Linked DNA regions of Drosophila melanogaster. The protein of the gene in region 1 interacts with the protein of each later gene in a pairwise test. Each region holds a gene or a part of one and is shown in the gene's direction. Other genes may lie near its edges.

What was found.
Region 2: the proteins of Rcc1 (region 1) and CG11899 interact in a two-hybrid assay, tested with the Drosophila melanogaster proteins (one large-scale study listed by BioGRID).
Region 3: the proteins of Rcc1 (region 1) and CG12723 interact in a two-hybrid assay, tested with the Drosophila melanogaster proteins (one large-scale study listed by BioGRID).

What each region holds. Positions count from the first base shown.
Region 1 is NT_037436.4:5,929,521-5,938,256, reverse strand, and holds Rcc1 (regulator of chromosome condensation 1), read left to right. Parts: upstream 1-5,483; 5' UTR 5,484-5,851; intron 5,852-5,939; 5' UTR 5,940-5,975; coding exon 5,976-6,639; intron 6,640-6,698; coding exon 6,699-7,678; 3' UTR 7,679-7,995; downstream 7,996-8,736. Other genes in the region: Egfrap (EGFR adaptor protein), read left to right, coding at 289-428, 525-858, 3,564-3,852, 3,923-4,203, 4,266-4,487. UniProt on the Drosophila melanogaster protein: Promotes the exchange of Ran-bound GDP by GTP. Involved in the regulation of onset of chromosome condensation in the S phase. Binds to chromatin.
Region 2 is NT_033777.3:29,198,734-29,204,215, forward strand, and holds CG11899 (uncharacterized protein), read left to right. Parts: upstream 1-1,720; 5' UTR 1,721-1,787; coding exon 1,788-1,832; intron 1,833-1,917; coding exon 1,918-2,594; intron 2,595-2,650; coding exon 2,651-3,023; 3' UTR 3,024-3,037; downstream 3,038-5,482. Other genes in the region: CG14515 (uncharacterized protein), read left to right, coding at 352-424; Mesh1 (metazoan SpoT homolog-1), read right to left, coding at 3,059-3,175, 3,237-3,581, 3,649-3,726; Cyt-c1L (cytochrome c1-like), read right to left, coding at 3,968-5,002. UniProt on the Drosophila melanogaster protein: Catalyzes the reversible conversion of 3-phosphohydroxypyruvate to phosphoserine and of 3-hydroxy-2-oxo-4-phosphonooxybutanoate to phosphohydroxythreonine.
Region 3 is NC_004354.4:13,187,198-13,193,654, reverse strand, and holds CG12723 (uncharacterized protein), read left to right. Parts: upstream 1-1,771; 5' UTR 1,772-1,882; coding exon 1,883-2,653; intron 2,654-2,718; coding exon 2,719-3,619; intron 3,620-3,682; coding exon 3,683-3,888; 3' UTR 3,889-4,012; downstream 4,013-6,457. Other genes in the region: Coq5 (coenzyme Q5), read left to right, coding at 21-323; Lgr4 (Leucine-rich repeat-containing G protein-coupled receptor 4), read left to right, coding at 4,727-4,745.

The sequences.
Region 1 (8,736 bases):
CATAGGGTCCAGAAGTGACCGAACTTCTGCCCCTTAGTGGTGGCAAAAAGTTTTGTGGCTTTCTTTTTCGAAAGGGGTTGCCAAGAGTTTTAACAAGCTCCTTACATTTTCTTCCCCCTTGCGGGAAAAATAGGAATATAGTCTCGTCTTGGAAAATAACTTAATAATTAGGTGGCTTGAAATGAATCTAAAATATGTGCAAACTTAAGTGTTATATGCATAAACTATTTTTCTACACGTTTTTGAACAGATGCTTTGAATGTTTGAGGCAAGATATATGAAGTACCAATGATCATGCAGGATATACGCCTACGCCTGGAACCACAGCACAGTAAAGCCACATTCATATCCTCCTCCTCGGCCTCATCGTCCTCATCCCAAACAGCTGAGACCACGCTGATTGAGACAGCTGAGAAGTCGCCAGCCAGGTGAGTGTAGGGAAGGGAAGGGCAGAAGTAACTCCCTTAATCTTTAACGCAAAGTATACCTCGTCCTTAATCCTCTCGCTCATTTGTTAACCGCAGTGAAGCAGCTGCTGGAACAGTGACAACGACATCGCCGCAGCATTTCTTCCATCATCATCATCCGCCGGCTCATCCGCATCCGCCCCGCCAGCAGCCGCATCCGCATAGCCACTCGCATCCGCATCCGCATCCGCAACTCCAGCGCCGCCCGGTGGAGCAGCTGCATCTGCTGCATAGCCACCACGATGTCCAGGAGCTGTCCGGACAGGAGCATCCACATCCGCAACCCGGCTCGCATCCGCATCCGCACCATCTGCGCTCGCCCAGCTCCGAGGAGGATAATTCGCCCACAGAAATGAATAATTGCCGTCGTTTGGTGGATAAGCCGCCGCTGGTAAGTTCTGCGAGGGTTCACTGTAAGAAATGGTAGTCATATTTTAAAAAGCTGTCGGAAAAATATAAGAAAGCCCTTTATATTGTAGGGTAACACTTCTATATATATTATGCAAAAGGAAATAATAACTCTGAATGGCAGGTCATAATGTATGCCCACTGATTTTTTTCAATACATAACTTATTCTCATTTTTTGCCGATTCCGCTAGTTAATATTAACTATTAGCCAATGTATTGAAAACAGAGACGGATTTTGCGATGCCAGTCGAGGGAGCAATCATTTTTTTTTTTGTTTTGCTTTGTTGCCAGGCTCCTTTGTTGGCCATTTCTCATTGCTCGCAAATTACTTTGCACAGAGCATAAATCTGCTTACGCTGATGATTTGCCAGGAAACAAGAGCTGGTGGGGGAATTTGAAAGGAATTACCTATTGGAGGAGCATCGGCTGGGGATGCACTTAGTGAAAGAAATGCCAGGTAGCGGCGGAAAAGGAAAACTTCAGATCGAGACAGCATTTACGAAATGCAAAAAGCGAGGAAAATGAGGGAAAATTCGTTCAATTCATGTTGCCTAGCTTAAATTCTCTATTTAGTTGTTTTAATTGCATAAACCTTAAATCACTTGTGTGAAATTGCGCTGCTTGAATCGAACTCGAAAGCGACAGGAGTAGGCACTTCAGGTGGAAATTGTTTTTGCCACCAAAACTGCAGCCGAAAAGGAGTTCATTAAATTAATTTGCACAAATGCAAATTTTCGAGTAACGCCACTTTGGCACGCGCCACTAACAAAGGTGCACTAGCTGCACACGACGAAAATGCAGAACAAATGGGAGGACACTGAGAGAAATAATTTAATATTACCCAAAAAGAAAATCCAGAAATATTTGAATGTAAAACATTACTAGCATTTTTTAAAAGATTTTCATGGATTTTAGCAAATTTATATAGTATATTTCAGATATTAAATTTCGCAAGAAATTTGTCACTTGACATGCGAGCATAATTCACTTGTAAAGAGCAGTCCTAAATGTGTTTAACTAAAGTTTAAAGTATTTGCAATTAAACTGCATTTTACTGTCAATTTAAATTTAGTTGAGTAGGGCATACTTAGCACTTTTAAATGCCAATTAAATGAGCAGTAACTCAATTGCCGTCCATAATCCTAAAGCGAGCATAGTTAGCTAACTAATTGCTTTCTTTTGTCGGCAACAACTTGGACCGAAACCCCGTTACCATTCATTCATAACTTTCTACTTAAACCATTTCATGGCAGGGCGTTGAATGCTTCCCATTTTGCCGTAGTGCAGTTTGAAGTTGGATAACACGAGTCCTGGTGAACAATGCAGGATGCCATGGCAAATGGCAGGCAAATGGCGTTAACTTACTGACTTTATGACACATAAATCGCAGCAACAGCGCCAAATGCAACCGACAGCCACGTGTTTTTAGGCCTAGGGAAAGGACGTGGAAAGGAATCCTTGCCAACAGGACAATGGAGCAACTTTTCTCTGGCGCCGCCTGAAAGTAGGCAACGTGCAAAAGTTTCGAACAGATAACAAGGCAAGGAGAAAATGCAAGAAAATCAAATGGCAGATGGGAGCATCGCTGCTGCGAATGCTGCTTAGACACGTCTATTGTGCCATTGTCTGGGAAAATACCTTGGAAAAGTCCAGCCCGCCTCCGCCCCATCTGCATTCTTTACGTTCGGGATTTTGCTGTGGCACTTCTGGAGCTCGAGTCCTTCGCGTTTTGCATTGCATAATGCGCTGCTGTTCCCTTCCGATTGCCATTAGCATAATGGGGGCATTAGGTTGGCACGATGCTCTGATTGCATACTTAACGACAGTGCCAAGTGCCGTCGATGCGCCAATTTAATTAGCTGCAATTGAAGCAACGAGCCTGAATCGAGCGAAAATCCTCAATTTAACTGGCCGCATACTGGCCAAGTAAATCGGCACTCATCTCCATAAAATCAACATAATTATCGCAAGTTAAGACCAAAATAAGCAAGTCCAATTTACGCTTAGACTGCTAATTACGCAACGCAATGGGAAACGATTTAAAAGCTGCAAAATGAAAACCCAAAGGCAGTAGCACAAACTTTTCGTTCGGGGCTCGAACTCATTTCAAAGTAATTTGCCGCAAAAGCCAGTGGTTGCCATAGTGGGCGTACTGTGGCCAAGGGGGCGTGGCAAGCGCTGTTTAACATTTTATTGGTAACCAAAAATTTTACACATCAATCTCGGTTGTTTTCTGTGTGGTGTGGTGGGGGGGGGGGGGGAATTGGAAGTGTGTGGCACGACGTTGTTGTGGTTCTGGCCGTGAGAGCTAAAGTGTGTTTGATGTTTGTTGGATTTTCCGGGCGGAAGCCGGAGCAGGGGTTAAGCTGTGGGGGGTGGCGCCACAAATCCCTGAATGAATACACACCTGCACCGATACTGACGGTCAGGCGAGAGTTGTCCCGAAATCGCCATTATAGCAATGCAAAAACTTTGCCAAATTGGCAGACAACATGCAACATGCAAATCGTACCACTAGCAATGGATGCACTGAAAACAAAAAGTAGTAAATGTTATTAATATTACATCACACTTTACTTAAGTTGCATAACAATTCAAAAATAACTGCATACTAAACAATGGGAATGTAATAATGGGAATGTATTAATACTTATAATTACTTTCTGTGCACTCCTATCCCTTCACAGGTGAAACGCCTGACCATGGGCATTGGACTGCTGCGGGGAACCGAGGACAGCCGCCCCCTGATGCACAGCACCTGCGGCTCCTCGCTGACCTCCGGATCCGGCTGTGGATCCACTCAGACCATCTCCGATGGCTATGTGAACGAGGCCATCTGCGAGCCGGACAAGTACGTGGCCAGCAAGTTCGGCGACTCCTGCCGCCAGTCACTGTCCGCACTGGAGAGTGCCACCCAGCGGCTGCAGGTGGAGCTGCCCGCCGCCAGCAAAAAGTATCTGAGAGAGACGTGCAGCGGTAGGTAGACTCTTATGTCACAGATATGAAATGGTTGGCTAAGGTTACCTTACTTCCGTGTAATTATCAGCCAACTCCAGTCCGAAATTGTTTCCCGGCCACAGTGCCCTGCGCCTGGATAATCTCAGCCTAGCCGAGCAGCAGGAGCTTAAGGGAGCCGCCTGGTTTCAAGCGGGCATTCCCAGGGAAATATCCCTGGAGGCCCTGTCCCGACAGAGTCCAGGTGCGTTTCTAGTGCGCCAGAGCAGCACAAAGCCGGGATGTTTCGCCCTCTCGCTGCGAGTGCCACCACCTTCACCACGAGTGGCCCACTATCTGATCCTGCGGACGCAAAGGGGCTACAAGATAAAGGTAAGTCCGAGCACATTATATATAATATTTATTATATATTATGATGGTATTTACCATTTTAGGGCTTCACCAAGGAGTTCAGTTCGCTGAAGGCGCTGATCACGCACCACTCGGTGATGCCGGAACTGTTGCCCGTGCCGCTGACCCTGCCACGCCCACCTAGTACCCGATCGCAACGATCGCAGGGCGCCTACGCAGGCGGAACCGGAAACGGGGGAGCGGACTTCGAGATGTATGGCTCGCTGAACGACTTTCGCAAAATGATGGCCGATTTGAATGTGTGACCGCTGGGCGCTCTTAATTAATTAAGTAATTATGTCACGTTGATTGAATTAAGCTGCCCAGCTTGTCACATTGTCCTGCGTCCTGTGTCCTCTGTCGCGACAGGATAACAATCTGTTTAATTTGCGTAATTGGCTGTGCTGACGACGGTTGACGTGGCTACCAATAAATAGGGTCCATGTCCATGTGTACTCGGGCCGGCAAAGGCCCACCTGTCCGACAGGTGCTGCAAAAAGTGCACAAACATTTTTTATTAAAATTGATAATAAAATCAGCTACGTGGGCGGCTGCGATGGCTGTGGTTTCGCAGGGGCGTGTTTGCATACACAAATATAGGGAATACGCTCAAATCATTTTTGCGAAACTGATTAAAAAATGGCAAAAACATGCAATATGTATACGCAAACAGACATCAAGTGATTATTATTTTTCGCGTTTTTATCAATTCTGCTCGTTTTGTACGGCTAGTGCTGAGTGGCAGATGCATCAGACAGACGTACTATACATATCTGAATGGGGGCAGTCGGATTAAATGTTAATGTTTGGGTAGGGAAATCGAGGGTCGGCTGCCGGGATTTGGAGTGCGGATGCGGAATGGGCAAAGTGGATTCTTTTTGTATTTGATGCACTCACTTTGCGGTGCAGTGGCTAGATAGACTTATATGGGAAGTAAATGAATAACCAATTATATTGTAACTCTATGTATTTTGTAATAAAGTTAATGGAAAACCTTTTCAAATAGTATTGTTTATTTTCTGATCTATAGCATGCAATATACATACAATCACGTTGAAAATGAAGCATTGGCTTAAAGGTAGAACATTTTATAATATTTAACAACAAATTTGTTTTGAAATAATGTGAGTGGGTAAGGAAAGTTTAAATTTCCCGCACATTATCGATAGCTCTTTCGATAGAATCGGTCGGCAATCGGCTCGCAAACTCGCTAGAGAACTGTTAACCAACTGTCATAGTTTGAGTTCACGCTACGCTCCATTCTAAAAGTTATCAATATCTCGAAATAAATAAACTGTGGGTTATAGCAGGCTTTGTTTTATTATTTGCAATTAGGAACAGTGCAAAGATAACAAAGATGTACTAACAATTGGTCAATAGGCGCAGAAGCGACCCTGAAATTGGAGTGTGACCTCGCTAATAGCCAGATGCGGCGGGGAATTCGCCAAGCCCGCAACACTGTACCCTGAAGGCCAGCTGCCGCCGCTTCCCGCGCATTTTCTTCGACCCAGGTAGGTCGCATTGGGATTCGCTTGCATTTGGTGTTTTCACTCGCCTCCAAACCGCCGTAGCAACACCATCTAGACAACGTGGAACTCCCGCTGAACCAGAGACCGGCATTATTTCCATTGTGAGTGTGAGCAGAACTAAGCTGCATCACCGGCGTCCCTAACCTTATATATATTTCTTACACACACACACAAACGCACTATTTCCAGTTTCGGTGACAAAAAATTGTGAAAATACAAGCTAAAATGCCGCGCAGAAAGGCCCTGACTAATAACAACAATGCCGGCGAAGCGGAGCAGCAGCCACCGAAGGCGAAGCGCGCCAGAATCGCTTTTCATCTGGAGCTGCCCAAGCGGAGGACCGTGCTCGGCAACGTGCTAGTCTGCGGCAACGGCGATGTGGGCCAACTTGGTCTCGGCGAGGACATACTGGAGCGCAAGCGTCTCAGCCCTGTGGCGGGCATCCCGGATGCCGTGGACATATCCGCCGGTGGCATGCACAACCTGGTGCTGACCAAGTCAGGGGACATTTACTCATTCGGTTGCAATGACGAAGGTGCTCTAGGCCGTGACACCAGCGAGGATGGCAGCGAGTCAAAGCCGGATCTTATCGATTTGCCCGGCAAGGCTCTGTGCATTTCGGCGGGAGACTCGCATTCCGCTTGTCTGCTGGAGGATGGCCGTGTCTTCGCTTGGGGCTCGTTCCGGGACTCTCATGGCAACATGGGCCTCACCATCGATGGTAACAAGCGTACGCCCATCGATCTGATGGAGGGCACTGTCTGTTGTAGCATCGCGTCCGGCGCCGATCATTTGGTCATCCTGACCACTGCCGGAAAGGTCTTTACCGTGGGCTGCGCTGAGCAGGGACAACTCGGCCGGCTGTCGGAGCGTTCCATCTCCGGAGAGGGTAAGTCTTGGCATTCAAATTTTCAACGAAATTCGTATTAAAAAAATGTTAACCCCCAGGTCGTCGTGGCAAACGCGACTTGCTGCGGCCCACCCAGCTCATCATCACGCGGGCCAAACCTTTTGAGGCCATCTGGGCCACCAACTACTGCACATTCATGCGCGAGTCACAGACACAGGTCATCTGGGCCACAGGGCTTAACAACTTCAAGCAGCTGGCCCACGAGACAAAGGGCAAGGAGTTCGCACTGACGCCCATCAAGACGGAACTCAAAGATATCCGACATATTGCCGGCGGTCAGCACCATACTGTCATCCTGACAACGGACCTTAAGTGTTCCGTAGTGGGTCGTCCGGAGTACGGTCGGCTTGGTCTGGGCGATGTCAAGGATGTTGTGGAGAAGCCAACGATTGTAAAGAAGCTGACCGAAAAGATTGTGTCCGTTGGATGTGGCGAAGTCTGTTCCTATGCCGTTACAATTGATGGCAAACTGTATTCCTGGGGCTCCGGTGTCAACAATCAACTAGGCGTTGGCGACGGCGATGATGAGCTCGAACCGATCGTGGTTGTCAGCAAGAACACGCAGGGGAAGCACATGCTGCTCGCATCTGGCGGTGGTCAGCACGCAATCTTTTTGGTCAAAGCGGACAAACAGGACCAGAAGGAGAATGTTCCAGTGAAGGTGTCTGGCAGCAGCAGCATCAGTAAAAAGGACAAGACCCCGCCGCAGGATAATGTCGACAAGGAAGCCGAGAATGTAGATAAGCAGGAGCAGAAGGAAAACTTGCCGGCGAAGGCGTCAACCAGCAGCAAAAAGAACAAGACGCCGCCGCAGGATAATGCCGACAAGGAAGCCGAGAATGTAGATAAGCAGGAGCAGAAGGAAAACTTGCCGGCGAAGGCGTCAACCAGCAGCAAAAAGATTAAGACGCCGCCGCAGGATGATGCCGCCGAGGAGGTCGAAGAGGAGTCTGCTCAGGAACCGACTCCCAAGAAGGCCAAGAAGCCTGCTGCCAAGCGGGGCGGTAAAAAGACATAAGATTGAGTATAAATACGCTGACTTTCCCACTTTGTTTTTGGTAACACTAAGTTACGAACCCGTACGCTTACCCTACGCTTAAGGAAGGCAATGAGTAGCCCAGATTCGTAAGATAGATCGGAAATTTTGCTTATTGTACGTTAAGATCTACGAACTGAATCCTGTTAAGTTCTTTTTATTTTGATAAATAGATGCCCGCTTATATCTTACAAGTCTGCCTAAAGACGAAAACTTCTTTATCAATCCAACTAAGTGTTTATTATATATATTCGTTCGCAATACGAAGCCGTAGTAAATTTGTATTTGAACGCAAAAGGAAACTAAATGAGATTTATTTACAAACTAATTAACTTGATTATATCATACACAAAGATATACATCCTACTCACAGTGTATTATAAATTCTTGGCTCAGGCGGGGCAAATGGGAGATTACCGGCAAAAAAGCTACAAAAGATTGGGAGATTGTCTCGTAAGCGCGAGACATCATTTACTCAATAATATCAGGAAACACGAAATTGTTACTCTTATGGTAGGTCTTAAGATTTATACAAAAATATGTATTTGCTTGGAGGGTGGTTCGATTTGCAATGAAGGGAAACATCTTAAAATTACCTTTAAAAGCAAAGGTGTCTAAACAATTCGCAGGACCCGGGAATTCATGAATGCAAGCCATTGAAGTATGTAAGAAGGCTTTAATATTTGTAGTTTTCATACCTGGCAAGGGTCAAAATGGATTATTACGTGTACAGAGGTGAACAAGTTGCATTTACTGCTGAACAAATCGAACCACCCTGGCATGCACAGTTGAGGGTTTTGGCTTCACTACGAGTAGTAACACGGCTGACGATTGCCTCTGCCTGAGTCGACTGTGGCTAGGGAGGTGGTTATGGTAGTGGTGGTGGAGTTTCCGCCGTAGTTGCTTCCCAGGTAGAAGCTCACGAACAAGATGCCGCACAGCAGCGATAGCGAAAGAACGACGCGCACCATCTTCCTTGCGAATGCGATGAATCCCAGCAAATGGCCGCCGGCAGCAACGCCGCCCAGCTGCCAATCACC
Region 2 (5,482 bases), on another chromosome or scaffold:
ACACTTGTCTCATTTGTCATTCTACCAAAACCAAAATATGCAAATATGGGTATTAATCACAAACAGACAAGCAAAGTTTATGGACACATCTTGCACAAGATCTGAAATCAATCATCATAGTACACTAAGGGAATTAATGCACAGAATTATAAGCTATAAAATGTATTATTTTCTCCATAACCATTTGATTTGAAAGTACTGTAGTCCAGTGTCGTCTCACCTTAAAAATCATCTGCTAATATTGCCTAATCATTGTCTACTAACTATTTATAGACTTCCTTGCGAATAAATTAGAAAAAATCATGACTTGCGAGCAACCATAAGAATTAACATTTTCACTTTTCGCTGCAGGGGCACTGTGCTACAGGAGTACGGAACGTTTTGGAGCGACATTGTGAACAAAGTGCAGGCGGAGCGGCCATAACTGAAATTATGTACTTACTTTTAAGGCAGCCGGGCAATAAATCTTAAAAACCCTAATTAGTCAAAACGAAATTGTTGTTTGAGGATTTTTTTTCGACTGCCATTCACCATTCCGACGTCTTGGACGTCGGACGCCAAAGGCGCCCCATTGAGCTGTGCAATCAACATTACAGGGCAAAATTATTGGCTTTTTGGCTCAGCGCTTATGAATGACCAGCCCACATCCCAGCGCCCAACGAGGCGAACCAGTTCCCGTCGCCCACCACAGACAGCACCTTGCCACCCACATCCGCCCACATCCTCCCACCCACTCCACTCCAAGTCCGAAATGGAACGCACGAGCCGAGCACGTTTGGGTTTCCAGACACGTTGGCCAGCTTCTCATAGGAAATTCGTTTTGGGCGCCCCGGCAAATTGGAAACTCTAAGCACCTTTCAGGCTGGCTGTGCTATAAAGTAATTAGACGGCCAACGAATTTGACCAAGACATAGGCCAAGATAAGTATTCGTAGCATAGGTCTAAAGCACTTCTGATTGATTGCCCTTACAACAATAGGAAGCGGATAAGGATAAGGAATCGGTTTGCAGATATGACCAGGCGTGCAAAAGAGTTCGCGGAATTGCTAATCGGCAGACGGTTTGTTTTGCTTGAAATTTACTACCAATTATGGTAGCCAACTTACTTAAGCCTTAGTTAAATATATAATGCCTAATATTGGTTATACTCTACAGATAATTCAATAAAAAGCTATGAAATCATAAACTCACTGTCGCATGCATCGAAGCTCCACTGTACATTGCACTTACACATTTCGCTTGCAGCTTGTTTACTCGCCTGCGAACTCAGTCGCTCGCTTGTTATTGTCATTCCAGCGAAAAGTGCATGGCAACCCACGCTGGCTTGGGGGCGGGGCACACACACGATGAAGTGGGGGGGTTACTGGGAAGCACTTTGTTTTCGTGCGTTGCACATATGTACATATGTATGTATGTACGTACATATGTAATTATATACGTTAGCCGACTTGTTTTGATCGAATTCGCCGTACCGCCGCCTGCCTTTGTCTGGCTTTATGGACTCCACAGGAGCGCAGCCCAAAATGGGGGGCTTGGAGTCGAACACCCTCCCGGTGGAGAATCCGTCCCTGGAGCAACCGAGTTCGTTGTCCAGTCGGGCGAATTTGAGTCTGGTTTTCCGCACGCGTTTTGTTTACTGTCCGGTGACTTGTTGCTGTTCTCTGTGCCCGCCTTCGTCTCGTTTATCAGCGATTGCGAATACTCGCACGGACTGCTCAACACTTTAGTCAATATTTAGCCGCTTCCCGGAGAGGTTCATAGATCGCAGACGCACTACATAGTATCAGCATGGTTATCAACTTCGCCGCCGGTCCAGCCAAGTTGCCCGAAGAGGTCGGTGAAATGGGTGGCACCACTCCACACACGTGACGTGTAATAGTAACCTTGATTACATGGTTATCTCTATCTGCATATATAGGTACTGAAAGAGGTGCAGGAAAATCTTGTCAACTGCAATGGCAGCGGCATCTCGGTCATGGAGATGTCCCATCGCTCCAGCAACTATGCCAAGATCCATGATGCGACCATCAGCGATCTTCGCGAACTCCTCAATGTGCCCAGTAACTACAAGATTCTGCTGATGCAGGGCGGTGGCACCGGACAGTTCGCTGCAGTGGCTCTGAACTTGATTGGCAAGACTGGCACTGCTGATTATGTAATCACCGGCTCCTGGTCGGCCAAGGCGGCCAAGGAGGCGGCTCAGTACGGCACTGTGAACGCGGTGCTGCCCAAGTTGGCAAAGTATACAACTGTTCCACGACAGGAGACCTGGAAGCTGGACCCAAATGCCTCATATGTCTACTACTGCGACAATGAGACCGTAGAGGGCGTGGAGTTCGACTTTGTGCCCGAGGTTCCAGCCGGTGTGCCACTGGTGGCCGATATGTCCTCCAATTTTCTGTCGCGTCCCTTCGATGTCTCCAAGTTTGGCGTTATCTATGCGGGAGCCCAGAAGAATATCGGACCAGCGGGCACCACGGTGATCATTGTCAGGGACGATTTGATAGGCAAGCACTTGAAGATTACGCCCTCCATCCTCAACTTTGAGCAGATGGACAAGAACAACTCCCTGTTAAATACTCCGCCGACCTTTGGGTGAGCCCAGAATGATACATGGCTGGTGAATTCTTTGTTAAACTTTCCCCTTGCAGCATCTATGTGATGGGCCTGGTTTTCAAGTGGATCAAGCGGAACGGAGGAGTCGCTGGTATGGCCAAGCTGGCGGCAGCCAAGTCCAAGTTGATTTACGACACGATCAACCAGTCGAATGGTTTCTACTACTGCCCAGTGGATGTCAATGTGCGTTCGCGCATGAATGTGCCCTTCCGTATTGGCAGTGCCAGTGGAGATGATGCCCTGGAGAAGGAGTTCCTGAGCAAAGCCGAGGCCGAGGGCATGATTCAGTTGAAGGGTCATCGGTCGGTGGGCGGCATTCGAGCCTCCCTCTACAATGCTGTAACGCTGGCGGAGACCCAACAGTTGGCCAATCTGATGCTGGCCTTTTACAAGAACAATAAAAATTGAACAGGTTCATCTGTAATTTGTTGGTTTTTGATCGTTTACAAAAGGCCGCGTTGGCGGAAGATCTCGTCCAGCTTGAGCTCCAGGTTGGCGTTGGTTCCTCGCAGATTGTCCACCACCTTTTTGGCCCAAACGAAGTACTGATCACGACGCTCCTGGAATGAAAATATGTGATCCATAAGGTTCCGTTTTTCAAACCAAGATGGGCCCAAATACCTGTGTCCACCCTGTCGGTGTGTTGACTTGCAGATCCCTTAGGTTATCCAATTTGTCAGCCAGCTTTATGAGCTTTGCTCTGCAGCTGCTTTTGGCTGCATTTTCTATTTGCAGGCGTTTTCTCTCCTGTTTCTCCAGGGACTTGTCGTCCGTCACCTCCCTCACTAGTCCACAAACATCCGGTCCAAAGAGTTTCTCAACATCCTCGAAAGATGCGTCCGTATCCTCCACGACATCGTGCAGAAGTGCAGCCATTAGGACTCCCTCATCTGTGATGCAGGCCTCCACGGAGAGAATAGTGCTCACATTGATCACATGGTTCACATAGGGGGTTTCCTGAGGATCCTTGAAATGTAAAAAAGATAGTATTCATGTTTTAAATATATCATTTGTTGCGTTTTAATAAGCTTACCTTGCGACGTTGCTGCCGGTGCTTAAAAGCTGCATATTGGAGGCACTCCATGAATTTGGCAGATGGATATGTGGCCATTGTTGTAAGAAATAATTAAATGAACGGGCCTTTAGTTCAAATTTAAAGTCTAAACCTTATTTTTTGCATTTATTTACATTTTTAACATAACAGCTGACTTAACAGACCGGCAAGAATCTATAACAGAGCAATTGTTGGTGCTTTACAGCGCGGATGGTTAGGCCCTGGAAAACCTATCGATAAATAAAAAGCGCGGCATTCATTTAAATTCAAAAACCTTTATTTAAACAGTTCACCAAACTTAGTCCTTCTTCTCGTTCTGGTTCTCGCACTTGTTGCACTCCTGCTCCTTGGCCTTGCGCGCTGCTTTGGCGGCCTCCTCCGCCTCTCTTTTGGCCTGGGCCTCCAGTTCGGGAATGAAGAAGATCTTGCGAGACTTGAGCGTTGACCACTTAAAACGCTTGATGTAGTAGGAAATGCCAATCAAAAAGGTCGAAATCAGAGTAACTTTGATGAGCAGCAGGCGACGTTCGTCGGTCTCCGGTTCTGAAGTCCACTTGAGGAAGACGCACACATCCTTGGCAATTTGGGCGGCCGAAGCAGGCACATTTGGATCTTCAAAGGAGACCACCTCATTGTCAACTACCTTGCCCATGGCAATCGCTCCGCCCGAGAAGTACGGATTGAAGTACAGTCCATCACGAAGGGCAAAACCAGCCGGAGGATCACAGTATCCGGTGAGCAGGGAGAACACGTAATCCTCGCCGCCCTTGCGAGCCGACACAATATAGCTGAGATCCGGCGGATAGGAGCCATTGTTGGCGGAACGGGCCGCCTCCTCGTTGGCGTACGGAGAGGGGAAGTGATCGGACAGCTTGCCGGGACGCTCGTAGTACTCGCCCTCCTCGTTGGGCCCATCCCGCACCGTGATGGCCTCCGCCTCGGCCTTGGCCTCCGCCTCCGTCATGCACACTCCCACCAGGTTGCGATAGGCCATGTACTGCAATGAGTGGCAGGAGGAGCAGACCTCCTTGTAAACGGTGTAACCTCGACGCACGCTCTCCTTGTCCAAGGCGGACAAAAGCCCTTTGTGATTCCAGTGCTGGTGGGCCGGATGCACGCAGTCCGAGGAGGCATCCACGCTGGTTTCCAGGGCGTAGATCAGCAGCCCTGCTGTTCCGGTTAGGGCTCCCAGGGCTCCCAGCAGCTTGCGATTTCCAGTAAAGCCGCTTCCACGACCCGGAAAACTTATCCGCGGACGCACCGATGTCCGCTGGATGCCGCTCATGGCCAGCTGGAAAAGTTTGCTGTTCAGACTCCTGAATTTGTTGGCCATTTTCGGTCGGATTCAGCTTTATCTCTCAAAACGATTTATTTACAATGTCAACGCAACCAGTGTTGGAAAGCTCTGTCGACTGGGGTTGTCACCACTTGGGGAAATATGTTCTGTCGAAATGAAATCACGTGTGTTGCGGTAAGTTAATATTTTAATTATTATATATTAATTTAAATATAACACCATCACATGCAAAATTACGGATCAAGTGAATGGCTTAAATGCAGTAATAACAATATACATTATCAATTGAAAGATTAACACTTAGGAATCTATCTTTACTGTACTCACCTATGGCAAAATATTAGACTTCCTCCTTTGATGGCAAAAAATCGTCATTGCGAAGAAAATATGTAATTGTTTGGAAATATTGAAATGTGTAAAAGTATAAGCTTTTTCACAACAATTTTTTAATGACATTTCACACAAAGCCGGCAAGAGCAACCTTTACCTACTAATTAAGATACATATCGATCGAAA
Region 3 (6,457 bases), on another chromosome or scaffold:
ATTTCTCCCTTCCATCTAAGGTTCTTTCTGAAGCGTATCGAGTGCTGCAGCCGGGCGGACGATTCATGTGCCTGGAGTTCAGTCATCTGACGAACGAAACGATGCAATGGCTATATGACCAGTACTCCTTCCAGGTGATTCCGCCCATGGGCCAATTGCTGGCTGGTCAGTGGCAGGCGTACCAGTATCTCGTTGAGAGCATCCGACGGTTTCCCAAGCAGGAGCAATTCAAGCAAATGATCGAGCAGGCCGGATTCGATCAGGTGTCCTACGAGAACCTAACCTTCGGCGTGGTCAGCATTCACTCCGGCTTCAAACTGTGACAGCCGAGGATGATATTTGTTGTAAGCGATTAGGAAATCCTAAGACCATTTGATGGGGCTTAACTATAATCTATATTGTTGGTTTTTTGCGTTTTTTCATGCTGCTCACGTCGGGCAGGTCATAAAGCATCGAATTAAACAAGCTCCTCTGGCGGCTTTTATTTCTGTATGTTTACATTTTGAGGTTTATGTAGCTCTTTGTCAAATATATGTACTTCATGTGCCAAAAGGCAAACCCAAACGGCAAACTGATGACATCTCCGGCGGCAAGGCCTGGGAAAGACCTTGAGGATTGTGTGCCAGACCCACTTAGATGCAAAGGGCGATATGGTGGTAGCCCAATAACCGAACTGTACCAGATGCCAGGTGTAAGGCACTGTAATCGATTTAAATTCCACACACCCAACGGGTCGTTTCCAAAAAAAAGTGAAAATCTCCATGTAGGCTAATCGAAAGTCCATTTACGGCGATGGGATGTGATATAATGCAGAAACTATCCACTTATCTATTGACTTCAGTTCGCCATCAGATGTAGTGCAGGTGAAATTTATGCGTGTGAATGTTGAATTTTAACGAAATTCAAATAATAGCATTGAAATGCCATCAAAATAATTGACCGTGCCATGCTTAATAGGTAATTGCTAATTGGTGCTTTGCAATTGTGCGCTTTTGCTTTTATTACAATGGCTTTATTATGCTTTCACCCGGCGACTGATTAACACGGATTGGACACCCGAATAGCCGCCCATATTATTGGCCGGATTATGTAAGCGGAGACACATTTGATTTGTATCTAAATTGCAGCCAAATCATAAACCTTCGGACCTTCCATCTCCGGCAATCGAAAGTGAAAAGAGTCCGGCGATAAAAAACAAAAAAAACTGAGCACAAAAAGCATGCGGAACATGCAGGCCATTGAAAGCAAAAGTTTGGTGCGTGCGGCAACGTGCTGCGCATGCGTAGGTGGATTCCGGCCAATGGGACAGTGGAGCGGGGCCAGGCAATCAGTGGGACTAGTGGGCAAAGTTGTTGGCAAACTATATAGAGTTTTAGCCTTTTAGATTTTTATGATAATAATCTCGATATCTGAATAAGAAGTAAACTTAGATATGAAGTGTAGTAGGAATATTCCATACTTGAGGAATATACATACCATATATATGCGCACAATCTACGGTACCACAGTGCGTGGTCAGGTGGCGCAGCATAATGAGGCGCTGCTCAGTGGTCAGTGGTCAGTGGGTGAGGGGTCTTCGATTGCGGCAGGTGAAATGGCAGCGTAAAAGTCATAAACTGCCCAATCCATGCCGTATGCCATGCCGATGAGCCGCTGACGGTGGTGCATTGCTAGCACCACCAGTGCCACCGATTGGTATGCACAGTGGGTATGTGCCACTCCACTGTGCCGCGATGTCCGCTTTATAAATACAACAGCGACCAAGGAAGTTCATTTCATTTTCTTGTCGGCGATCGCAGCAAACGGATTAAACGCGAGGCGAGGCGATATATTACATAGTGTCCAAATATACGCATATAGAAATCAAGTCCACTGAATCGAAATGAATCTCTTGGCCAGTTCGAGGAGCCTCCATCTTCTGATGGTCTTGGCTGTCATCTTGGTTTCTCATCGAGCTGAGGCGGGCTTACGTTTGCGTCACACCAGTCGATCGGTCACGCCCCCCGCCAGCACAACGCCCACTTTGACAGTGACCTCCGAGGATGCCCCGCTACAAGAGGAATCGGTGGCGGAGAGTGCCCCAACGGCCAGTGTGGTTACCGAACCGGAAACGGAAGTGGAGGTCACGACCGGAAAGCACAAGCGTGGCATTCTACACGGCCACGCCCACCTGCACGGCCAATGGCCCGCCCGCACCTATGCCGCCCACTACGGCTATAGCCTGCAGCTGCCAGGAGGCAGTGCCTTCCTGGCCGCCGCTCCTCCGCGCCGCCACTTCGTCAAATACGGCCATGGTCTGGTCAAGCCGCTCGTTTCCGGTTCCGGTTTGCTGCCCGCCTTAGCTCCCGCACCCGCTGCCCTGCTGCCCGCCGTCGCCTCAGCCCTGCCCGTTGGATTGCCCACCGGTCTGCCCGGTGGCGTGGCCAGTGCCATTCCCGCCGGAGTCGCTACTGCCTTGTCCACCGGCGTGGCCACCGCTTTGTCCACCGCCGTGGCTCCGCCCTCGTACGTCCTGCGTCCCGGAAATGCGGTCGTCTCCTCGTACAGCGTCAACTATCCGCACCAGCACCTGCAGAAGCCCGTGGTCTTTCAGTCCGCCGTAAAGCCTGTCCACTTCCATGCTCCGGCTCATGGCCATGTGCATGCCGTGCAGGTGAGTTAGCTACATAGGAAACTTGTGGAATATCCCGTTGACCATTTCATTCTTTTCTGTTGCAGCCCACTTATGTGCAGACCTATGCTCCGACTGCTCCGGCAGTGCCTGTTCAGCCCGTGCAGCCAGTGCAGCCAGTTCATCATCTCCAGCCCATTCAGCCCCTTCAACCGGTGCAACCGGTGACCACCCATCTGCAGCCAGTTAGCCCAATCCAACCGGTTCAGCCCCTTCAACCGGTTCAACCCATCCAACCTACAGTGACCTTCGGTGTTCCGTCTCCCCCAGCTGTGGATTTGCCGGTGATCCCTCAGTTCCCACAACCGCCTCAGTTCCCCGGTGTGCCGACCTTTAGCTTCCAGCCCGCTCAGCCAGCGGTGCCAGCCCAACCCGCTGTGCCCGCCCAGCCGGCAGTTCCAGCTGCACCAGAAGCCCCAGAAGTGCCACAGGTTCCCGCCATTCCACAGATTCCGGCCATACCGCAGATACCCCAAATACCACAATTTCCCGGATTCCCTCAATTTCCCGGCTTTCCCCAGATTCCCCAGTTCCCCCAGGCGCCAGCCATTCCATCACCTCCCTCCGTTCCAGGAGTTCCAGCTGTACCCACGGTCCCGGCCTTCCCCAGTCCACCAACTAGCCAATTCTTTCCGGCTGCTCCACAGCCACCATTGCCGCAGCAGCCACCCACTTTTGGCCAACCAGAGTCGCAATTCCCCGGCGGAATTGTACCGCTGCCGGGCTCCACTCCCGTCCGCCCTGAATCCGGCACGGGTATAGCCTCGCCGCAGATTCCCCCACAATCACCCGAGCCGGAGACGCCGTCGGAGGTGCCACCACAGCGGCCATCCGTCCAGCAGCCCTGGAAGCCGGTATTCTATAGTCCACCCACCGAATCCGCGCCAGCGTCGCCGAATCGACCCTCGATCACCCTGCTCCCGCCATACGGAAGTGCGCCAGCTGAAGGTGAGCTCAGATGACGTTATGGATATATATTATTATGCTATATTTCAAACGAATATTTTCCAGGTTACCTGCCACCCGTGGGATCCCAACCGTCGGCCCTGAGTGCCAGTAGTGCCGGAATCGGTGGTCAGGGCGGCATCTTTGACCAGCTGACCGATGCCGAGCTGGAGCACATTTTCGCCCAGGCCAACTTGGCGCAGCAGCAGCACCAGCAGCAGCAGCAGCAGCAGCAACAGCAGCAACAGGGCCACAACTACCACCACTACTGAGTCCACCACTCACTCCACCTAGGGATCTTTTCAAATTTTTTTTTGTTTTTTTTTTTTAAGCCTTCGTTCATTTGTGCTCTACTTGTATTGTAAATTATGTTGCTATTAAATAAGTTATTTATCGAAAAATTGAACAGATCGTTTATTTATTGCGTAATAATAATAAATATAATAAATAATTTAAATAACTAATTCTATTGCAAAGTATATGCGAGATATAGACATAATATCTTAGTTTATTTCCTTTTGGCACATACATATTATCTATTTGAATTTCATTAGGAAATTCCCTTTGGCTCGGCGCATTTTCATTTCCTGAGCTTTTCCGGCGCGCGCTTTTCCCCCAAAGGGCTTTTCACCTTGAACTTGGCGTTCGTTGGTTTCTTTGGAGCTTTTCCCGTTCAGCTTTTCATTCATAAATTGCCAGCCGGCGCGCTGAATGAGTGCGTTGTGTGCTTGGTTGGGTGAAAAGTGGGCGGTTGGGCGGTCGGCTGGGCGGCGCCAGTGGGCGGGGCACCTGGAAAGGCCGCATGCCACATGTTGCAGGCATTCGCTCGCCTTTTTTTCAGCTCAGTTGTTTGTTATCGTTGGCGGCGAACGCGCGTCTGCTGCGGACCAAAAATCGACTATATTCCGACTATATACCGCGCATATATATTTTTGGATCCACCGATCCGCGATCTTACACATTGAAGTGCGGCGAAGTTTTATTTTGATTTTGATTCTTTTTGGTTTTTTTTTGTTTTTTTTTTGTGCTGTGCCCATCAGAGTCTATAATTAAATATTGTTTATTGCCCGTTGAGACGGTGGAAGAAAAAAAAAGCGAAGAACTCCCTGGATGTCAATAGCGATCATGCGTACGTCCCGGAATAATAAACAATACCCCTTTTTTTGTTTGTGTGTATATTTATCGGTGCAGTTATAGAGAGATGCCAGATATCCCCCGATTCCAATGTGTATAGGTTTTTATCTACTTTATTCGCAATGTTTGTGTGGCATTTTAACGCGAATCGAAATAATAAACCCGGCCAAGATATTGACCATCTGCGGATGTGAAAGTGCCTGGGATTTTCGATGGTTGTGTGAATGTTATCCATGCGATAATTGAGGGTTTATAATTTAAGTGTGCTACCTTTAGGAAATTCATATGAAATATACATATATGTATATATAGGAGGGTATTTCAAGTTTGGATTCAAATTGAAATTAAAGCTAAGACAACATAAAGAATACAAAAAAAAAAAAAAATCATTGAGAAAAATGGCATGAAATCGAATACAGGCTTGAACATTTTTTAAATGGATAGTGATGGCAAAAAGTATACAAGCCAAAACTTTCGAAAATGAAATAATTTTACAAAGAAATTCCAAAAGTTATATGCACGAAAAGGTGCAAAAGTGATGAAAGTTCTGGATGTTTGACAAAGTTCAAAGGGCACCAAGAAGTTTTTCGAATAAAGTTTGAGCTCGAGAAAACATAAATGTCCGCGAATAAAAAGTGCATTAGATACAAAAGTTTTTCTTTTTTTTGCCGGTGCGTTGCTCAATTTTTTTTTTATGTTTAAAGTTATATAATAAGAGTACTGAAAGAGTTTGCAAATAAATAAATGAAACTATTTAAGGCATACAAAGAAATGCTACGAATTTTTGGAATATACATATAGAAATGATGCAGGTTTTCTTAGGTGTAAAAATGTAAAATCATTATGCCAAAACATTTTACACAATCCAATCAAAATGTTGATGATTGACAGGAATTCGCGTTGGGCGGTTCGAAAAATGCACCGAATTTGTATTTGTATCGAAACGATTTTCAATTAAAATTCTGTTCCAATTTGCATATTAATTTATGTTATTAAAATGGAGCTGACGCCTCAATGTCTGGTATTTTGCGCCATCTCTGTCGCTCCCAGTGCCGGCAATGTCTATTTCTATCTCTGTCGATCGATGGGTCTGTGTAAAAATTTTGTAATAAAATGTCATTAAGTGTAAGTGCGTGGTGCCGTTTAGATTTATGTGCCCGAATGAATTGCAAATGCCTAGGCGAGAAGGATATGTTCGGTTTGGAAAAGTTGAAAGGGTGGTCTGCACTGGTCCAGGGTGGACTAGGGTGGCCCAGAATGGGAGCCCACCGGTCTCCTTGTGGTTCCGGTGGCCAGAAAACTGGGCGCTGACCTGACAACGCTTGGTGCCCCAAAGTTGTGTTATTAGTTGTAACTGCGTTGGCAGCTTAGACAAATCCGTTCATCCCCACTATATAGCACAAATATATACATACATATATTATATATAGACATATATATATATATATATATATATATAGCTAGCGCCCTGGCTACGGGGATTATTTGTCTAGTCCCACCCCACAAACCACATCTTTTAATGAGCCACCGAAAACCAAGTGGAATGTGTCAATTAAGTGGGGGTAGTCTCCCTTCAACATCCCCCCCCTTCAAATTCTATTAAATTCACCAAAACTATTTGCGTAAGCTGCTTGGGGTAATTATTAGTTTTTTTTTTCTTTCTGTATTTATTATAAGCTTAGTCGCGGGATTGTTTAATGATGGCAT